Linked DNA regions of Macaca mulatta. The protein of the gene in region 2 interacts with the protein of the main gene of each other region in a pairwise test. Links are inferred from orthologs where the notes say so. Each region holds a gene or a part of one and is shown on either strand. Other genes may lie near its edges.

Region 1 (7,667 bases), about 2.7 Mb from region 2:
CCGAGACTGCACCACTGTACTCCAGCCTGGCAACAGAGCGAGACTCCATCTCAAAAAAAACCCAAAAAAATCCTACAATACACAGACAACGTCAACATTTTAGCATATTTTCTTCTACTAAATTTTACTTACATATATGTCTTAACACAGCCAAAATCAATTTAATAAATTTTCTGTTTTTCTTCCTTCAAATTATGTCATAAGCATTTTTCATGTAAAATCTCTTCAGAAATATTTTAATGACGGCAAAACATTCACAGTATATACTCATATATATTTAGACAGGTCATAATTGACTTTAGAAGTCTTTGACTATATATTAAAGCAGACTGTAAGTTTCACATTAATAAATAATGTTGTAATAAACATCTTTATGCTTGAATCTCTATAAGCATTATGGATTTTTCTTTTTTTTTTTTTTTTTTTTTTTTTTGACACGGAGTCTCGCTCTGTCGCCCAGGCTGGAGTGCAGTGGCCGGATCTCAGCTCACTGCAAGCTCCGCCTCCCGGGTTCACGCCATTCTCCTGCCTCAGCCTCCCGAGTAGCTGGGACTACAGGCGCCCGCCACCTCGCCCGGCTAGTTTTTTTTGTATTTTTTAGTAGAGACGGGGTTTCACCGTGTTAGCCAGGATGGTCTCAATCTCCTGACCTCGTGATCCGCCCGTCTCGGCCTCCCAAAGTGCTGGGATTACAGGCTTGAGCCACCGCGCCCGGCCCATTATGGATTTTTCTTGAAAGAGATTCCTTAAAAATAATTATTTTTATTTTTTAATTTTTTATTTATTTTTTAAAATTTTATTTTTTCCCCCCATTAAAAAGAATTAAATGGGCCAGGTGCGGTGGCTCAAACCTGTAATCCCAGCACTTTGGGAGGCCAAGACGGGCGGATCACGAGGTCAGGAGATCGAGACCATCCTGGCGAACACGGTGAAACCCTGTCTCTACTAAAAAAAATACAAAAAACTAGCCGGGCGTGGTGGCGGCGCCTGTAGTCCCAGCTACTCGGGAGGCTGAGGCAGGAGAATGGCGTAAACCCGGGAGACGGAGCTTGCAGTGAGCTGAATCCAGCCACTGCACTCCAGCCTGGGCGACAGAGCGAGACTCTGTCTCAAAAAAAAAAAAAAAAAAAAAAAAAAAGAATTAAATGGCCGGGCACAGTGGCTCATGCCTGTAATCCCAGCACTTTGGGGGGCTGAGGTGGGTGGATTATGAGGTCAGGAGTTCAAGACCAGCCTGGCCAAGATGGTGAAATCCTGTCTCTACTAAAAACTACAATTGCTTGAACCCAGGAGGCGGAGGTTGCAGTGAGCCAAGGTCACGCCACTGCACTCCAGCCTGGGTGACAGAGCAAGACTCTGTCTCAAAAACAAACAAACAAAAAATCTTTCTTGTCTCCCAGGATTTTTAAGAATAAGTTGATTGGCCGGGCGCGGTGGCTCAAGCCTGTAATCCCAGCACTTTGGGAGGCCGAGGCGGGTGGATCACGAGGTCAGGACATCGAGACTATCCTGGCTAACATGGTGAAACCCCGTCTCTACTAAAAATAAAAAAAACTAGCCAGGCGTGGTGGCGGGCGCCTGTAGTCCCGGCTACTCGGGAGGCTGAGGCAGGAGAATGGCGTGAACCCGGGAGGCGGAGCTTGCAGTGAGCCGAGATCACGCCACTGCACTCCAGCCTGGGAGACACAGCGAGACTCCGTCTCAAAAAAAAAAAAAAAAAAAAGGCCGGGCGCGGTGGCTCAAGCCTGTAATCCCAGCACTTTGGGAGGCCGAGACGGGCGGATCACGAGGTCGGGAGATCGAGACCATCCTGGCTAACATGGTGAAACCCCGTCTCTACTAAAAAATACAAAAAAACTAGCCGGGCGAGGTGGCGGGCGCCTGTAGTCCCAGCTACTGGGGAGGCTGAGGCAGGAGAATGGCGGGAACCCGGGAGGCGGAGCTTGCAGTGAGCTGAGATCCGGCCACTGCACTCCAGCCTGGGCGGCAGAGCGAGACTCCGTCTCAAAAAAAAAAAAAAAAAAAAAAAAAAAAAAAAAAAAAAAAAAAAAGAATAAGTTGATTAAAGTCAAATAATGCATGGATTGCTCAAGCCAATTTCTCAGAAAGAATAAAAATGTCAACCTAAAGAGAAAAACCCAGATTCTAGCATGATTACGTGCCCCAAAGTTTGTTGAAAGGTATGTGCTTAACATTAGAGCTTACCTGAGCATGATCCCACCCAGACGAATAGCTCTCTTCCAGTCCTTCAGAGTGGACTTGCCAGCCAGATGAACAAAGTGCTTGGGGCTGATCAACTGATCATTGAACTAAAAGTAAAAAGAAAAGTCCAAAATAGTCTAATGTCAACTTAGGCAGGCCAAGAGGGGAAATAATGAAATGGTAACTCTACATCATTTGCATAAAAAATACCCAGATGACATCCTAAGCCTTGACTATCCAAACTCCTGCACTATTGTGTTAGAGAAGACGATGCTTCTCAGAGCACAGTCTCCATTCCTGGTACAAAGCCACAGAATACATGCAGAGATAAGAGATAAATATATTAATAAATCTCTAAAATCCATTTATGCCTGGAATCAGGTGGTTGGGTCTCGTGTGGCAAACAAAGGCTGTTCAAATAAACTGAAATAATCTATCCAGCCCTAATGAAGACAGCATAAGCAATTCTATTTTTATCAATTTTGTTTTTGGCTAGTCAATCTAATAATTTTTTTTTTTTTTTTTGAGACAGAGCATCACTCTGTCACCCAGACTGGAGTACAACAGCGCAATCTCAGCTCACTGCAACTCTGCCCCGAGGTTCAAGTGATCCTCCTGCCTCAGTCTCCGCAGTAGCTGGGATTATATGCACCCAACACTATGCCTGGCTAATTTTTGTATTTTTAGTAGAGATGGGACTTCACCATGTTGTCCAGGCTGGTCTCTATCCCCTGATCTCAGGTGATCCACCCACCTCAGCCTCCCAAAGTGCTGGGATTACAGGCATAAGCCACCTCACCTAGCCAGTATATATATATATTTTTTTGAGACAGAGTATCGCTCTGTCGCCCAGGCTGGAGTGCAGCGGTGCGATCTCAGCTCATTGCAAGCTCCGCCTCCTGAGTTCACGCCATTCTCCTGCCTCAGCCTCCCGAGTAGCTGGGACTACAGGCACCTGCCACCACGCCCAGCTAATTTTTTGTATTTTTAGTAGAGACGGGGTTTCACCGTGTTAGCCAGGATGGTCTCGATCTCCTGACCTCGTGATCCGCCCGCCTCGGCCTCCCAAAGTGCTGAGATTACAGGCGTGAGCCACCGCGCCTGGCCGCCAATATATTTTTTGAAGATGCAAGGTTTTCCAGCCCAGGCAACATAGCAAAACCTTCCATCTCTACAAAAATTAGCCAGGCACAGTGGTGCACACCTGTGGTCCCAGCTACACAGGAGGCTGAGGTGGGAGAATCACCTGAACCCAGGAGGTGGAGGCTGCAGTGAGCCAAGATCGTGTCATTGCACTCTAGCCTGGGCAACAGAGAAAGTCACGCAATGTCTCACCATGTTGCCCAGGCTGGTCTCGAACTCCTAAGCTCAAGTGATCTTTCCACCTTGGTCTCCCAAAGTGTTAGGATTACAGGTATGAGCCACCACATCCAACCCAAAGTTCTTATTTTTTCTATTGTGACACATTAGAACAATAGCCATCAAAAAAAAAACCTGATCTAGTGCAAGAGAAAAAGGATGCATGGAACTGACACCCTTTGAAAACAAGGAGTCCCAAAATTGGCTTCAGCATGGAGAAGACAATTACCTTGACACACTTCACATTTATTCCCGGACACACAAACTTCTTCCAGAGGAGGATGGCTTTGCTCTCCCCACAAGTTATAGGGTAAGCAATTTCCATATCCTCATTTGCTTCTATAGTGCCTGTATCTGAAAACAGAAAAAAAATCCGTTATTTATCAAACAACTCTTCCCCAAAGCTGAAACTCAAAATCTCTAGTCTCCTGGTTCCTCTGAGGGACTAACACTTCACTCTTGCTGGTATCGTTTAGGGATCCTCTGGAAGAAGTCTGGCCTAACAGCTCTCTCTTCCCAAGCTCCCACAGTGTGCCAGACACCGTTCTTACAACAATCCTGTGAGGCAGTGATTATTTCCTAGGTGTTTTTTTTTTTCTTTTTGCCTTTTTTGAGATGGAGTCTCACGCTATCACCCAGGCTGGAGTGCAGTGGCATGATCTTGGCTCACTGCAACCTATGCCTCCGGGTTCAAGCAATTCTCCTGCCTCAGCCTTCCAAGTAGCTGGGATTACAGCCATATACCACACACCACCACGCTGGCTAATTTTTATATTTTTAGTAGAGATGGGGTTTCACCATCTTGGCCAGGCTGGTCTTGAACCCCTAACCTCAAGTGATCCACTCGCCTTGGCCTCCCAAAGTGCTGGGATTACAGGCGTGAGTCACCTCGCCCGGTGTAGGTGGTGTTTTTTTGGTGGTTGTTGTTGTTTTGGAGATGAAGTCTCACTCTTGTTGCCCAGGCTGGAGTGCAGTGGCACAATCTCAGCTCACTGCAACCTATGCCTCCCGGATTCAAGCAATTCTCCTGCCTCAGTCTCCTGAGTAACTGGGATTATAGGCGCCCACTACCACGCCAGGCTAATTTTTATACTTTTAGTAGAGATGGGGTTTCGCCATGTTGGCCAGGCTGGTCTCAAACTCCTGACCTCAGGTGATCCCCCGCCTTGGCCTCCTAAAGTGTTGGGATTACGGGCATGAGCCACTGTGCTCGATTAGGTTTTTTTTAAAATTAATTAATTAATTAATTGTTTCCTAGGTGTTAAATATAAGTATATGGGCCTCAGGTTAACTGACTTTCCCAAGGACACACTTAGAGGTGAGAAATTGGGATTTCAACTCAGATTTGTTAAATTTCAAAGTTTCTTTCCAGTTTCTTTCCACTGACTGCCTTCTAAACAATACCTTATCAGTCATCAACAACTTCTTTAATGACAGGTATCAACTTTGAGGCTCCAATTTCTATGTGGGATTTTTATAGATAAAAAGTCTTTTCAGTTACCCTTCCAAACTGACGTTAACCAACCAACTGATGACCCTAGCATCTTAAGTCAGTGGTGTCTCAAGATGTACCACCATCAAAATCGAGGGCTGTAGTACTGGTAGGGCACACAGGGATGGGAGAAAAACATAAGGCACAGATGGCAAGAAAACTCAACCAAGGAAGCTAAAGTCAAAGGCATTAGAATGACAAAAACAAAAAAAACAAAAAAAAACCTTACCAATCCCTTCTTCAATTTTGTGTATCGTGTGAGTTTCTACTGCTACAACTGCCGTGTTGTTCTCCGACCCAGCTTCATAAATCCTGTTGTAAAAGTGTCCATCGATAAACAAACTACATAAATCATGAAAAAATTAATATTCACAGCATGGGGTTAAGAAATTTGTTTCAATCTATCTCAAAATAAATAAAATAAATATACTTTAAACTCTGACTAGTTTCCCATTATATTTAAACTCCAAACTTCCCAGGACTGCTTAGCAGCTTCTACCATGGAAATGAATCGACAACTCTCCTCACCTCAAAGGAAAGTAATTCTTGCTACTTATTTATTTACACCACCACTTGCTACTACTGTATTACACCAGACTTCCCTTCATAACTTTATTTTTTAAATGTCAGCGGTGGAATAATCCACGCTTTTTACTTGCAAAGGGTGAACAGAAAGCTACCATATTTCTCTAGGACATTTACAAACAGTTACCTTCACCTTGAGAAGAAACTGAATAAAAATAAATGTCCACTCCTTTCATAACTTTTTTTTTGTTTTTGAGACAGAGTCTCACTCTCTCTCCCAGGCTGGAGTGCAGAGGTGCAATCTCGGCTCACTGTAAGCTCTGCATCCCAGGTTTGCACCATTCTCCTGCCTCAGCCTCCTGAGAAGCTGGGACTACAGGCGCCCACCACCATGCCCAGCTAATTTTTTTTGTATTTTTAGTAGAGACAGGGTTTCACTGTGTTAGCAGGATGGTCTCGATCTCCTGACCTTGTGATACACCCGCCTCGGCCTTCCAAAGTGCTGGGATTACAGGCATGAGTCACCGCGCCTGGCTCCCTTCGTAACTTTAAATGGGCCGGGCATGGTGGCTCATGCCTGTAACCCCAGCACTTTGGGAGGTCGAGGCAGACAGATCACCTGAGGTCAGGAGTTCGAGACCAGCCTGGCCAACGTGGTGAAACCCCCATCTCTACTAAAAATACAAAAAAATTAGGCTGTGTGTGGTGGCTCACGCCTGTAATCCCAGCACTTTGGGAGGACAAGGTGGGCAGATCACGAGGTCAGGAGTTTGAGACCAGCCTGACCAACATGGTGAAACCCCATCTCTACTAAAAATACAAAAATTAGTCAGGCATGGTGGTGCACCTGTAATCCTAGCTACTCAGGAGCCTGAGACAGGAGAATCACTTGAATCAGGGAGGCGGAGGTTGCAGTGAGCTGAAATTGCACCACTGCACTCCAGCCTGGGCAATGGAACAACACTCCATCTCCAAAAAAAAAAAAAAAAAAAAAAAACACTTTAAATGCCCATGGCATAGTATGGCTACAAGTACACGACTAATTCATATTATGGAATTACCCTGAGAAGACTAAAAAGTAGTACCAGCAGATAGTTTGAGACAGGAAGAACCAGGCTGACTGAAAAGTTGACGTCCCTTGTTGGAAACAGTGTATTTTGCCGTTGGGGTGGGAGGTGTTTGTTTGTTTGTTTTTAGCATCTTTTAAGGTACCATAACCAAACTATTGACATGAGCAAAGCCTAGTGGAAGAAAAGTAAGAGAGAAACTACATCCAAAGTAACTAGGAGTGACTAGAGGCACCACTTAGAGAAGGTTATATAATGCAGATCTCTCCAAGATATCTCTACATTTATGGGGTCAGATAATGTAACTTGATACATCAACAATCAACATCCTTTATTTAATTTCTATAATAAACTTGATGTGCTAATTATTGCATCTTGTTACTTGAAAGCACTGCCTGAATATTCTCCTTTGTATCAATGACTACCTCCACAGTGATACCTCTAGTACAGACCTCCCTTCTGAATTTCACACTCAAACATAGCCAACTGCTAAATGAATAAATACATTTGTGTGTGTGTTTGTTTCTTGAGATGGAATTTCGCTTTTATTGCCTAGGCTGGAGTGCAATGGCACGATCTTGGCTCACCGCAACATCTGCCTTCCAGGTTCAAGCAATTCTTCTGCCTCAGCCTCCCAAGTAGCTGGGATTATAGACATGCGCCACCACACCCAGCTAATTTTGTATTTTTAGTAGAGACAGGGTTTCTCCATGTTAGTCAGGCTGGTCTCGAACTCCCGACCTCAGGTGATCCTCCCACCTCAGCCTCCCAAAGTGCTGGGATTAGAGGCGTGAGCCACCACACTCAGCCAAATAAATACATTTGGAAGTCTCATAGGACTTTGACGAATTCATTATGTCTAAAATAACCATCAAGTTCCCTCTTCCTGACCACCCTCAAACTATTATTCTTCCTATACTCTCCATCCTTGTTAATAGCACCACTCAGCACACTGCAGACAGAAATCTGGGAATCACACTAGATTTTCTTTTCCTCTTTCTCAACTCCACATAGTCAGTCAC
Region 2 (8,306 bases):
AAACATTTGTTGAGTGCCTACTATGTGCTAGGCATTGGGGGTACAGAGATGAATAGAGACCATCTTTGCCCTCAACGTCTTCAAAGTCCAGAGGGAGAATCAGACCCACAAGCAGATGATGGTAATATGGCAAATGAGATGCAAAGATGGACCATGCCTGACACAGAGATTAACTAGGCATGTGATGAGAAGAAGAGGGAACCCCAAGGTGACTCTCAACTTCCTGGTTGGTGCAAATGGGTGGATGGTAATGCTGTTCACTAAGACGTGAGACAAGAAAAATGGAAGGAGGAGCTAGGTATTGGGGAAGATGGTGTGTTCTGGCTGGAGTATGATGAATTTGAGATACTATTAGAACATCCCAGTAGAAATCTCCAACAAATCTTTAGCTTAGGGGAGAGAGAAGTCTGAACTGGAATTAGAGAGTAGAGAATCATCAGCATATGGGAGCTGGAATCATGCATGTTTATGAGGTGCTTACTGCTTCAAGTAACAGAGTAATTACACAATAATGGCATTTGATATCTCACGTCTTAAGAAGTCAAGAGACGGGCAGCTCTAGGGTTGGATAAATTGGCAACGCAATGATGGCATCTCTAACCCGGGTACCTCCTGTGGTTCCTCTATGCCATCCTCAGGGTGTTGACATCATGCTCAGCCTTGTCCCCTTGTGGTTGCAAGATAGCTGCTCTACCCTCTCACAACCCCATTCAAAGGTAAAGATGAAACTTTGTTCTTGCACATTCGTTTTTATCATGGAGGAGATCCTTTATCTTTAGCCAACAGACATATCCTTGGGTCTCATTGGCCATAACTGCATCATTAGGCAAAAGAGAATGGGGTTGTATGATAGGCTTAAACCGTTTGTAACTCATCTCCTGTGGCCGTGGAGAGGTCCATCTTCCTAGAGCACAATGCTACCCAATGCCTTAACTAAAGTGAGGTCCCATGAGCAGGGAAGAAGAGATGGCCTTTTTTCAGTCCTCATCCTCTTCCAAACCTTGGCTGACCTGACAGTGTTGACTTGACCCAAACACAGTTCAGTAGAGTCTACATTAGGAGCTTGGGTTCCTAAGTCAAGCATATCTGGGTTCATGTCCTAGAGCCACCTCGTGCTCTCTGTGTGACCTCATACAAGTATTTTACCTGTGTGCCTGAGTTTCCTCACTTGTGGAGTGGGGATATTATGGGTCTTTTGTTATTGGCTGTTGAGATGGTGAAATGAAATAAAGCATACAAAGCATTTAGCACAATGCATAGCACATAGTAAGTGCTCAGCAAAACCTAAGTGCTCAGCAAAATTTTGGGGGGCAACTCTCTCCTCAAAATCCTCCAGCCCTTTGTTTTTTGTTTTTTTTTTTTTGAGACGGAGTCTCGCTCTGTCGCCCAGGCTTGGAGTGCACTGGCCGGATCTCAGCTCACTGCAAGCTCCGCCTCCCAGGTTCACGCCATTCTCCTGCCTCAGCCTCCCAAGTAGCTGGGACTACAGGCGCCCGCCACCTCGCCTGGCTAGTTTTTTGTATTTTTTTAGTAGAGACGGGGTTTCACAGTGTTAGCCAGGATAGTCTCGATCTCCTGACCTCGTGATCCGCCTGTCTCGGCCTCCCAAAGTGCTGGGATTACAGGCTTGAGCCACCGTGCCCGGCCAGCCCTTTGTTTTTAAGGCCTCTTCCTTTTTCTGTAACTTGTTCCTCTTCTTCTTCTCCCATTTCCTCTCTTCCAAGGTTTGCTTCTCCGCTCTATGTCTTGTCTCATTTTTCCCGTCATTCCTCTTTCTTGAAATCCTTCATACCTCTCCTGAGTATTCCATGGCCTCTTAGACTTATTTTGGGACCTGATACCATTGCTCCATATCTCTGCCTCATCACCTTGGACCGGATGACCCCAGGGTCCTTTCATTAGATGCTACCTTAAAAACAGCTACTGGAGGCCAGGCACAGTGGCTCACACCTGTAATCCCAGCACTTTGGGAGGTCGAGGCAGTCAGATTGCCTGAGGTCAGGAGTTGGAGACCGGCCTGGCTAACATGGTAAAAACCCATCTCTATTAAAAATACAAAAATTAGTCGGGTGTGGTGACATACGCCTGTAGTCCCAGCTACTTAGGAGGCTGAGTCAGGAGACTCGCTTCAACCTGGGAAGCGGAGGTTGCAGTGAGCTGAGATGGCACGACTGCACTCCAGCATGGGCAACAGAGTGAAACTCCGTCTCGAAAAAACAAAACAAAACAAAACAAAACAGCCACTGGAACTGCTCTAATGACTTCTACCTGCCAATGTGGAAGATGTCCTAAGAAATACGGAGAAAAGTTAAAATGTGTGCAGAGAGCTGAGGGAAGCCTTCTAAGTGTCCAGGCAGGGCTTTGTGGCACCGCATGAGGGGTTTTCCTTTCTTTTCTTTTTTTTGAGACAGAGTCTCACTCTGTCACCAGGCTGGAGTGCAGTGGCACGATCTCCGCTCACTGTAACCTCCACTTCCTGGGTTCAAACAATTCTCCTGCCTCAGCCTCCCGAGTAGCTGGGATGACAGGTGTGTGCCATCACACCCAGCTAATTTTTGTATTTTTAGTAGAGACAGGGTTTCGCCATGTTGGCCAGGCTGGTCTCAAACTCCTGACCTCAGGCAATCCGACTGCCCACTTCAGCCTCCCAAAGTGCTGGGATTATAGGCGTGAGCCACCGCACCCGGCAGGTTTTTCCTTTCTATCTGCCTTCCTCGGCTGTGAGTTTCTTGCGGCAGGGAAACAGATCACTCATCCATTTGTCATGTTGTGATGTATACTAGTTGCCTGATGTATACTAGTACTCAGAAACATGTCTGATGAATGAATAAAATGTCTGGCTTTGCCACTTACTTTCTTCTTCTTTTTTTTTTTTTTTTTTGTTTTGTTTTGTTTTGAGATAGAGTTTCTCTCTTGTCGCCCAGGCTGGAGTGCAGTGGCGCCATCTCAGCTCACTGCAATCTCTGCCTCTCGGGTTCAAGTGATTCTCCTGCTTCAGCCTCCCGAGTAGCTGAAATTACAGGCTCGCACCACCACACCCAGCTAAGTTTTGTATTTTTAGTAGAGATGGGGTTTCACCATGTTGGCCAGGCTAGTCTTGAACTGCTGACCTCGTGATCCACCTGCCTCAGCCTCCCAAAGTGCTGGGATTACAGGTGTGAGACGCCACACCCGGCTGTCACTTACTTTCTAACTGACTTTGAATATAATCCTTTTCTTCTCTAGTCCCATTTCAAAATCTATAAGATGAGGGGACTGGACTGCGTTTCAAGGGAGGCCTTTCAGCACTGAGTGAAATAAGTGGCCAAGGGATGGAGGATGGGCTGGCTGGGGTGGGGGTCTCCACTGTCTCCAGCAAAATGCTGTGCTGAGGTCTGAGGCAGAGGGATGAGCTCAGAGAGAGGGCTGCCTGACCCTTCCATCTAGGAGCTGCTCAGGACTCCAGAAGAGGGGATGGAATTGATTTAGGTCAGTGAGGGGTTGAGCGGGGCTGGGAGGGGGTTGGGGTCGGGAGGCTTCAACCTGGGAGGCAGAGGTTGTAGTGAGCAGAGATCGCACCACTGCACGATCCTTTCTATCTCCCTTCCTGGGCTGTGAGTTTCTCAGGGCAGGGAAACAAATCACTCATCCATCTGTCACATTGTGATGTATATTAGTTACCTGATGTACACCAGTACTCAGAAAAATGTTCGACATTTTCATCATAGCATTGGCTATTAACCCTTTGAATCCCAGTGGCTCACTTGCTGGGTCCTATCCCTGACCCGCTAGCCTGGTGCCGGGGGGAGACCAATTTCTGGAGGAAGCTCTGGGTACCCAGTCTTCCCCTAAGCCTGCCTCTGAACAGGCTGTTCTTGTTTATGACCCCCGTCCCAGAAGAACAGCGATTGCTCATCCCTGCATGTGATTCGAGAGGGCCAGTCTTTCAGGCCTGGAGGAAACTCAAGCCCCACCAGCCGCTTGGCATCGGAATGCTCAGCTGGTCCCCTCCTGGAGCTCATGTGACCAAGATCTAGCTATAAATATCAGAGGGGCCTCAGACCAAGACAGAATTCGGGCACCAGGAGAAGGAAGCCAACAGGATCCGACCTGGTGTTTCGTGACAAAGGCAAGACTCCCCAGGTCTACTTAGAGCAAAGTCAGTAGAGGAGGCAGCTAGGCGCGGCTCTCACTCCTGCCCACAGAATGGATTATAAGTCGAGCCTGATCCAGGATGGGAACCCCATGGAGAACCTGGAGAAGCAGCTGATCTGCCCTATTTGCCTGGAGATGTTTACCAAGCCAGTGGTCATCTTGCCGTGCCAGCACAACCTGTGCCGGAAGTGTGCCAATGACATCTTCCAGGTCAGTGCCGGGTGCAGCCTCATCCGGGGGTCCCAGGTGGCTACTCGGCTTTCCGAATGAAGCCCTTCTTCTCCCTTAGCCTTCTAACTCTTTTCCCTTGGAAGTGAACCCCTGCAGAGGCCTCTAGACAGGGCTGAGAGGGGATGGGAGGCAGCTCTAGCTGTTGCAGTTCTTCTCCATGACGCGTTTCCCCTCCCCACCCTGCCCACAGCTCCCCCACCCCTGCCCTGAGCACTGCTGTTGACTCTCCAATCAAGAGTCAAATGCCTCAAGTGATAAGCGGGGAAGGCAGGGACAGGAGAGAGAAACCAGACCCCTGGGGCTGGAGCCAGGTCCTGGTGGCAAGAGGCCCAGAGCTTTGGGAGGAGGGTGTCAGGGAGGCAGTGGGCAGTAGAGGCGTCTTCCCTTTCGAGGCTGTTCCCTACAATATGGGGACAGAAGCGGCTCCAAATCCCCAAGAAAGGAAGGGGGTAGGTGTCCTGGCTGGGAGGCAGGATGCGAGGTTCCCCAGGGACACTTTACAAAATGTTCTTTCACGATATTATCTTTAAAGTAGCAGCCTTAGGAGCTTGCTCTCATTGTAATACCCATTTCATAAGTGGGCAAACTGAGGCTTAGAGAGATAAGGTTGCTTGCCCAAAATCACTCAGAGAATTAACATGACTTGAACCCAGGTCTCCTGCCTCCCCATCCTGACGATTGCTTAGCTGCATCTCAGGTGCTCTGTATGTGAGGACTGGTTCTCATCACAGCCTGCGGAGCTCCAGGTCATTAGGTTTGACTGGGGTGGTTGGGGCAGGCAGAGGAAAGGATAAGAGGAGATTAGAAAGGGGAAGGGCTGAGGAGGGAGCCCAGGCCTCACCTTGACCTTTGCCACCTGCAGGCTGCAAATCCCTACTGGACCGGCCGGGGCAGCTCGGTATCCATGTCTGGAGGCCGTTTCCGCTGCCCCACCTGCCGCCACGAGGTGATCATGGATCGTCACGGAGTGTACGGCCTGCAGAGGAACCTGCTGGTGGAGAACATCATTGACATCTACAAACAGGAGTGCTCCAGGTCGGTTCTCATGCCTGCTGGGGGCCCATCCTCCTTCTCAGCCATGCTGTGCCCAGCTCCCCCAAGCTCCTTCCCCTTCCTTCATCTGCTCAGGATCCAGGCCTCTAGCTGGACTAGCTACACGAGCCAGTTCAGAGACAGGATTGGAGACCCATACACCCCAACTCGGCGCTCAGGATCACTCAGCAGATGGGAAGGGGTCCAGACATTAGGCTGCCCTTCCAGGCGATACCAAGACAGAGACTGGGGGAAAGATGAGATGTGAGAGGGAGAGAAAGGCCCTGGGGCCAGCTAAGTGGCTCCAGTCAGCAGAGAAAATGCCCAGTGAGAAACAGCCAGGTTGTCTATAAGGATAGCAACAGCTACTTTCCTGTGTGCCACGAGGAACTGTCAGGCACGGGGAATGCTTCATCTTAGTACCTTCCGATAACTCTATGAATCAGGCATGACTTTATTATCCTCATTTCACAGGTGAGGAAACTGCCCAAGAGGTGAAGTCAATTAGCTAAGGTTTTCCAGCTGGAAAGTGAAAGAGCTGGGAGCTGGCCCAGTTGATCTAGCTCTGAGTCTCCCTGCTAATAAAATAGCAGCTCATTCAGAGGCAGAATGTGTAACTGGTGGAGGTTGTGCAGGGTTAGCCTTAAACTGGGGAGAGAGGGCCAGGTGTGGTGGCTCACGCTCGTAATCCCAACACTCTGGGAGGCCAAGGTGGGATGATTGTTTGAGGCCAGGAGTTCAAGACCAGTCAGGGCAACATAGAGAGACCCTGTTTCTACAAAGGTTAAAAACTAGCTGGGCGTGGTGGGGCATGCCTGCAGTCCCAGCTCTTCAGGAGAATTGTTGAGCCAGGGAGGTCAAGGTTGCACAGCCATGATCGTGCTACTGCACTCCAGCCTGGGTGACAGAGTGAGACTATGCCTCAAACAAACAGACAAAAAAACTGGGAGGCCAGGCGCAGTGGCTCATGCCTGTAGCCCCAGCACTTTGGGAGGCCAAGGTGGGTGGATCACTTGAGGTCAGGAGTTGGAGACCAGCCTGGCCAACATGGTGAAATCCCATCTCTACTAAAAATACAAAAATTAGCCGGTCGTGGTGGCGCATGCCTGTCATCCCAGCTACTTAGGAGGCTGAGGCAGGAGAATTGCTTGAACCAGGGAGACAGAGGTTGCAGTGAGCAGAGATCGTGCCACTACACTCCAGCCTGGGTGACAGAGTGAGACTCCATTTAAACACACACACACACACACACACACACACACACACACCACAAAAATTTGGGAGAGACACAGCTACAGGAAAGATTTTTACAAACCAGGACATCCTGGTAAGACTCCAGGAGTGCTGACTCACAGCCTTTAAGGTCTAAAACCTTCACCAAGCATCTGCCTGCAAGCACTGCCCAGTCCAAGGGAAGGTGACAGACCAGATCTCAGGTAAAAAAACCCTGGCCTGGGGAACTGTGCTTGCTAGTCAGCCTCTGTGACTGATGTACTGTACCATCTTGGGTAAGCCTTTAGAGTTTCATTTCCTCTGTCTGCAAACAGAAACAGTAAGATCTGTTATTGTGGCTGTCAAATAAGATATTAATGGAAAATGATTAATGTATCAACTATTTATTGGGTACCTACTGTGTGCAGGCGCTGTATGAAGTACTTTCAGGCATTTTCCCTATCTATTTCTTTTTTTTTTTTTTTTTTTGAGACGGAGTCTCGCTCTGTCGCCCAGGTTGGAGTGCAGTGGCGCGATCTCGGCTCACTGCAAGCTCCGCCTCCCGGGTTCACGCCATTCTCCTGCCTCAGCCTCCTGAGTAGCTGGGACTACAGGCGCCCGCCACCGCGCCCGGCTAATTTTTTGTATTTTTAGTAGAGACGGGGTTTCACCGTGGTCTCAATCTCCTGACCTTGTGATCCGCCCGCCTCGGCCTCCCAAAGTGCTGGGATTACAGGCGTGAGCCACCGCGCCCGGCCTCCCTATCTATTTCTTATAGTAACCCAGGAAGGCATTCCCGTCTCCATTTTACCATGAGGAAATTGAAGCTCAGAGAGGACAAGGGATTTTTCCAAGACCACACAGCTAGCAAGTGGTAGAGCTAAGAAAGAGAGGGTGTGGGAATTTTCTTTTTTTTTTTTTTGAGGCAGAGTCTTGCTCTGTCGCCTAGGCTAGAGAGCAGTGGTGCGATCTTGGCTCACTGCAATCTCTGCCTCCTGGGGTCAAGCGATTCCCCTGCCTCAGCTTCCTGTGTAGCAGGGACTACAGGCATGTGACAACGTGCCCAGCTAAGTTTTGTTTTTTAGTAGAGACAGGGTTTCACCACGTTGGCCAGGCTGGTCTCAAACTCCTGACCTCAGGTGATCTGCCCGCCTTGGCCTCCCAAAATACTGGGATTACAGACATGTACCACCATACCCAGCTAATTTTTGTATTTTTTGTAGAGACAGGATTTCACCACGTTGGCCAGGCTGGTCCTGAACTTCTGACCTCAGGTGATCCACCCGCCTTGGCCTCCCAAAGTGCTGGCATTACAGGCGTGGGCCACCATGCCCGGCTGGCCAGTGAATATTCTTAATTACTGTGCTAGATTGCTTCTCATGTTGCTAGAGCGCAACACTACAAAATGCAAACATATTGTTGATCATAAGGAATAATAAAATCAATTCCACACCAATGTTAGCCCACCCAGTGCCAACCTATGAAGAGCGCGTTGTGTGTGAACCTTTGAGGCCTTTCCGCATAGTTGAATGGCAACGACAGCTGCCCTCTATTGAGAGTCTGCTCTGTGCCGGGCACTCCACATTCATTACAGACAATTTCTACCATGATTGCAATAGCTCTGGGAGGAATCCCAGGCAAGAGAGTGAAATCACTTGTCCAGAATCACAAAAATGAATGTGGAAGAACAATCTGGA

What was found.
Region 1: the proteins of TRIM63 (region 2) and GMEB1 interact in a two-hybrid assay, tested with the Homo sapiens proteins (2 studies listed by BioGRID and IntAct). The link is inferred for Macaca mulatta from reciprocal best matches to the Homo sapiens genes TRIM63 and GMEB1.

Annotation. Positions count from the first base shown.
Region 1 is NC_133406.1:212,204,460-212,212,126, forward strand, and holds part of GMEB1 (glucocorticoid modulatory element-binding protein 1), read right to left. Parts: intron 5,805-7,667; exon of another isoform or gene 5,675-5,804; intron 5,396-5,674; coding exon 5,283-5,395; intron 3,916-5,282; coding exon 3,791-3,915; intron 2,310-3,790; coding exon 2,206-2,309; intron 612-2,205; exon of another isoform or gene 402-611; intron 1-401. UniProt on the Homo sapiens protein: Trans-acting factor that binds to glucocorticoid modulatory elements (GME) present in the TAT (tyrosine aminotransferase) promoter and increases sensitivity to low concentrations of glucocorticoids. Also binds to the transferrin receptor promoter.
Region 2 is NC_133406.1:214,945,959-214,954,264, forward strand, and holds the start of TRIM63 (E3 ubiquitin-protein ligase TRIM63), read left to right. Parts: upstream 1-4,047; 5' UTR 4,048-4,185; coding exon 4,186-4,344; intron 4,345-5,227; coding exon 5,228-5,400; intron 5,401-7,199; exon of another isoform or gene 7,200-7,748; intron 7,749-7,883; exon of another isoform or gene 7,884-8,306. UniProt on the Homo sapiens protein: E3 ubiquitin ligase. Mediates the ubiquitination and subsequent proteasomal degradation of CKM, GMEB1 and HIBADH.